Medicago truncatula: one gene and its partner. The protein of the gene in region 1 binds, or shares a complex with, the protein of each later gene. Links are inferred from orthologs where the notes say so. Each region holds a gene or a part of one and is shown on either strand. Other genes may lie near its edges.

The links.
Region 2: 30S ribosomal protein S6 alpha, chloroplastic (region 1) and 30S ribosomal protein S13, chloroplastic share a complex: the UniProt entries of both Arabidopsis thaliana proteins name them as parts of the 30S ribosomal subunit. The link is inferred for Medicago truncatula from reciprocal best matches to the Arabidopsis thaliana genes AT1G64510 and EMB3137.

The regions. Positions count from the first base shown.
Region 1 is NC_053049.1:46,338,333-46,341,628, reverse strand, and holds 30S ribosomal protein S6 alpha, chloroplastic, read left to right. Parts: upstream 1-1,209; 5' UTR 1,210-1,316; coding exon 1,317-1,664; intron 1,665-2,099; coding exon 2,100-2,339; 3' UTR 2,340-2,559; downstream 2,560-3,296. UniProt on the Arabidopsis thaliana protein: Binds together with bS18 to 16S ribosomal RNA.
Region 2 is NC_053044.1:36,447,227-36,449,909, forward strand, and holds 30S ribosomal protein S13, chloroplastic, read right to left. Parts: upstream 1,515-2,683; 5' UTR 1,466-1,514; coding exon 1,352-1,465; intron 1,277-1,351; coding exon 1,052-1,276; intron 969-1,051; coding exon 807-968; 3' UTR 659-806; downstream 1-658. UniProt on the Arabidopsis thaliana protein: Located at the top of the head of the 30S subunit, it contacts several helices of the 16S rRNA.

The DNA of each region.
Region 1 (3,296 bases):
TTCAAATTTCTTCCTTCTTATATTTTATTTTTCAAATTTTGCAAGTTGATCCCCATATTTTTCAAAATTTTGAAATTATCCCCTGAAAAATTTCAAAAAAAGTTGCAAATTGGGCTGATTTTTTTTTAAAACGACAATTGACCCCTCAAAATTTTTCAAAATTATAGTTTGACCCCCTTACAAATTTTGAAATCTGTTAATTGGCCCAAAAAAATAGAATTCATAAAGGTAGCCCAACAATGATACTTTTTGGATGAATTAAAATCATTTTGGTAAACTATATTGTTTGAATGATAATTTGGAGAATTGTTATATATAAAATTCATGATAATATTCTCAATATAATAAAAATATAAATTAGCAGAAAATATCTAAATAGAAATTATTTTAACTTCAACTCAATTTTTTCCTAAAAAAAAAACTTCAACTCAATTTTAATTAGGGATGATAAAATGGGTTGAACCTGTTTAACCCACATTTTTTAGCGAGCTGAGTTGGGATTTTGAACCAGCTACGTGGGGTGTTCGCTCCGCCTAATCAACTAAAAAATGGGGCGGTGATGAGGTGGGGTGGGTTGGCCCGTTAGATTAACATTTAAAAACAAACTCTCTTTTTTACTTCTTTTTATTTATATAAAAGTCACAACTCATAATTAATTTTTCAATTTTCTCCTCCTATATTGGGGAAAAAAGTTCAATTTATTTATCACTTTTGTTTCATGATTTTAGCCTCATATTTTTAACGGTTAGTCAATTGATTACTAAATTGTTTCATGATTTTAGCCTCATATTTTTTACGATTAATCAATTGATAACTCATGAAATTTTTATTTTGAATGTCTTATTGATTTATTATTGATTTTTATTTAGATGATGCAATTTATATGTTTGAATTATTTTCATATTTATAGAGGAGTCATTATACATTTAGATTTCCTTAAATTGACTTAAGTTTATATATTTTTACACTATTTATGTGAAATTTTTAATTAATATTTTTTAAAAAAACATTGACAGCTCAACATGTCAATCTTGTAAAACAGGGTATGGTAAGATTTTGAACCCTACATCTCTTGTGGCCTATTCCTTTTAGACGAGTTATTGACAAAACAAATCAAAATCAAATTTACAGAATCAATTTATTTAAAATTAATTTTTCTTTCTTTCATAAAAAAAATTAATTAATTTTTCTTATACCGAGTGAATTCTACACTGCGCTGTGTGCACGCACTGAGTTGGCCTTATCTGACTCTATCTTTTTTTTATCCGTTCTTTCGCTAACAGTTCATCTTCTTCTTCTCCTAAGCAGAAGCATCAATGGCATCCTCTTTACTCAATTCAATTCCACTCTCATCTTCTTCTTATCTCTGCACTCCTCACACATGTTCACCATTTCGTGCATTTCCTGAATCAATTTCCCACTTTCACCAAAACAGGAACAACTTTTCCATTAAATCACAAACCCTAGACTTCTCTGGTTCTTTCTTTGAAGGTGGATTTGGTTCGGGTGATGACCCGGTTACTCCCGGAACCGGGTTCACTGCTGTGGAAGAGAAAGAAGAACCGCAATGTCCACCTGGACTCAGACAGTACGAAACCATGGTTGTTTTGAGGCCTGACATGTCTGAGGATGAGCGTCTTGCACTCACCCAGAAGTACGAGGAGGTCAAATTCTTAACCTTTTTACTTCTTTCTCTTACCTTTTGTTTCTTAAGTTAATCCATTTGAAGCTTGATGATGAGTAGGTTTTATATATGTGTGTGATACTATACTAGAGGCGACCGTATTTGTTAGAATTGCAATCAATCCGCAAACTGAGAATTCGTATCAACAAACATACAATTGCTAAGGGCTGTCTGTACATGAATCAGTATAATTCTGTATCACACCAATACTAACTACATGATTCAGTGATTATTTTATTTGCATTCACTATGTTTGTTTGATTTGTTACCTTGTTTCCATTCTTTCAAAACAAACACTTTACACAGTCATTTCATTTCATTTCTCTGCTTTGTTCTTCTGAAAACATAGGCAGATAGGCTTTGTTCTTTTCTAATTGGAATAAAACACTAATCCTAACGATTTTCCTTCGTGCAGCTTCTTGTTGCTGGAGGTGGCATGTATGTAGAGGTTTTTAACAGAGGTGTTATTCCACTAGCATATAACATCCAGAAGAAAAACAAGGAAGGAGAAACCAACACGTATATGGATGGCATCTACCTCCTATTCACCTACTTCACGAAGCCTGAGTCCATAACCGCCCTTGAGCAAACATTATTGAGGGATGATAATGTTATCCGATCAACAAGCTTCAAAATCAGAAAAAGGAAATGTTAGTTTATTTTGGCATCTCCAGTAGCTCTGAAAAAAAGAATGTAACAATCATCATTTGTTGTTGTGGTATGTTTTCTTTCATTTTCATATGGATTCAAGTATTTTTGTAACAAGGTTGGATTAAACTAAAAGAGAGATGTAGGTGCTATTACTGGCAGTCTGCAGAGTTATAACACCTAGTACAAAGTGCTATATATTAGCCAATTTGCCATTCGGTTGTTCACATATCAAGTCTAAATTTTCATATTTAGAGGTAGAAGTTCATTTTGTTATCTTAAATCATATTAGGAAGAAAGTTTACAATGACTAGTGATGAATTGGAGAATAATATTGCTTAATTTCATAAATTGAGAAGGTGAAATGCATTTCTACAAAAAGTTATTAGAAAAAGAAATTACAAGAGAATGGATCAAATGGCCTGTAAATTTACCTTACAAGCGACTGGAGTTCCTTGGTTTTCAACCGGATGATAAAGTCATAGCAGTAGCAGGAGGGAACTGCTACATAGCAAATGGAAATAATTTATATTTATTTTTGCCGTAGTATAGATGTGCACTTTACCACTAGCATGTTGATTGTGACGCCGAAAATGCATGCATCTTCGTTACTTGAATATCAAAATATAAAATCGTTTATGACACCGTTTGTATTTATCTCTATCTGTCATTTACTTTAAATCTTCTACTTCTACAACTTACACACATTTAAAAAATACACAAAAATAAAAAATACAATTTACCATCAACATAATTGCACAACACACAATGCTAAATTCTGTAGAGAGATTTAGATTTTAGCTAGCTTAGGTTGCTGGCTTGCAATTTTTTTTTGCACTACACCATTTATTATCTGTGAATGAATAAACTAACATTACCTCTCTGATACTATTAATACCACAACCTTGCCGTTTAGAACTAAGGATTTTCTTTGTTATTTCTAAGCTCGGTCTTTTAGTTTGTT
Region 2 (2,683 bases), on another chromosome or scaffold:
AGGAGGATAAACCAAGGAAGAATTGGAGAAATGCTCCATGGAATCTGCTAGGTTTTCTACTTTTGCGTACGCTACTATTATCCACATATGGCAGTGGAAGAAACCAATCACAGTTATTCTCATTTGTGGCTCCAAATCCATGTTTTACGGATGGAGAAGTGCAATGCTGATAATTCCATCAGACAGTCTTTTCAGTAAGTATGATATGAAAAAAAATCTAAAAACAAGTATGGTGACTTCACTCTATTCAATTACATTGCACTCGCTAATCGATATCCAATCATATATTGAACACAGACTCTTCTAATATCAAAGACTGAACATTTGTAGGACTGGAACACCCCACACCAAAATCATCCCACCTATAAACATACCAACCATTTACAGTTGAACAACACATACAGCATATGCAATGCACTAAATCAGTGCTATTAAATACCGGCGCTACACCACTATAGCATAGCGGAATTTGGACAAATTGCTTTTATTCCACAATACGCTATTTAGTACAAAATGTTGTCATATAGAAGCTATAATGGCGCGATAGCCTTCTTTCATAGCGGAGTTTTAACAATAAAACATCATTTTTTTGGGCTGACAAATGCTAAGAGGATCATATAACTTCAACTTTTATTTCAACATATCCAAGCAGTAGTTTACATAATATATCACTAATAAACTTCATTTAAACTTTCACAACAACAAAATTACATCCAATTTAATCAAAACAATTGCATTATCCAAAACATTTTTTTTCTTACTCTCATACACAAATCAAGTGACTAAATTAAAAAGGTACTAAATATTTACTTTTTCTTCTTGCCAGCAACAGTAACCTTCTTACCCTTCAATGTCCTGCAATTGTTCTTGGTACGTTGTCCTCTACAAGGAAGTCCCTGAATATGCCTTATTCCTCTGTAACACTGAATCTCCTTCAACCTCTTTATATTAAGTGCATTAAACCTTCTCTGAAATTCACAAAAAAAAAAAAACCATTACAATTACAAAACAAAATAATAGAAAACAAACACACAAAAAATGAGATTTTTACCAAATCTCCTTCAATCATGTATTTGTTAACTTCATCCCTGAGACTAATAAGCTCTTCTTCACTCAATTCCTTAGTAACTTTATTCTCCATACTGATATCAGTTAGAATCTGTCTCGCTCTGTTCCTTCCAACTCCATGAATGTACTGCAATGAAAATTCAATTCTCTTGTTGTTTGGAATTTCCACACCACCAACACGAACACACACAATGTTCAGCCTTTGAACCTACAATTCAATCGGAATCAAAATCAGAATGGAATTTGGAATTTATCTTGAATTATGAAACCCTAATTGTGTTACCTTTGACTTTGGAGTGTTGAGAACTGGGAAGGAAACTCGATTGGAGAAGTGAGCATGGCCTTTGGAGATGATTGAGAGTGAAGGTGCCACAGGCATTGAGAGTGTTTGTACCATTTTTCTGTTCAACTGCGAAATGAAGTATTCACCATAGCCATATCCTTATCATTATCCCCTGAGAATTGATGTTTTTTCCTCTAAAAACACAGGGAAAATACGTTTTTGTCCTCACCAGTAGTTACGTTTCTGCTACGGTTAACTACCGTTGGCTTCCAGCGCAGTTCATTATCGTTGACTCAGCTGCATTTAAATTTAGTGTCCGCGGCGGAGCATCAATTAGTTTTAGTCCTTGCAAATTTTTGTTTTTGGTTTTTAGTGTCTTCAAATTTATCATTTTTTTCTTTTGATCTTTATTATTTTGTTTTAATCCATGCAAAATTAATTCATATTAAAACTTTTATTCATGTGATATAAATGATACTTGACTTTAACACTTAAAATATTGACTAAATAAATATTACACGTTTCAGTTTAAGTATAAACATATTTTGGATTAAAACAAAACTATAAAGACCAAAAGTTAAAAATGATATATTTACAAGTACTTAAGAAAATTTAATTTTTTACAAGCATTTAAAAACAAAAACTTATACATTAAGAGACACTCAAAATATATTTGAACCAAAGAATTATCGATATGCATAATTGTAAAGGACGTGGTATGAAAAATCCAATGAGATAACTAGGCGACAATAGAAAAATTTATTCAATATCAATGTAAAACTGTTAAACTTGTTTATAAAAAAAAAGCTTGTTTTACAGTGATAATGCAAATCCTTTAAAGTCAAATATAAATTACTATTCTAGAGAGTAATTTCTTTGTTCTTTTTTCCTTTCTTGCTTCTGTTTTTTTTTTTTCTTTGCCTTCGTTTCGTAACAAAAAAAAAAATATATAATTCCAAACCTCATGCATCATTTATATTTGACCTAATTTGTTTATGATAATTTACTTATATTTAACCAAATTTTATGATAGTCTATGCTAAATCAAATGTTTATGATAGTCTGTGCACACGTCACAAAATATTTACACTAGTATAATAAAAGAGAAATTTATATTCAACTCTATAAAACTAACCAATCATGATCAATAATTTAACTTGTAAAAAAAATCAATAATTTATGTAAAAAAACAAAAATTATGATCAATAATTTCAAACGTGTAACCTATAAGTGAGGGATTTATCCAATGACATTGATTAGTAATAATATACTTCCTCCGTTTTTAAATATAAGCAAAATTGACTTTTTAGGTTCATTTATTTAATGATGTAT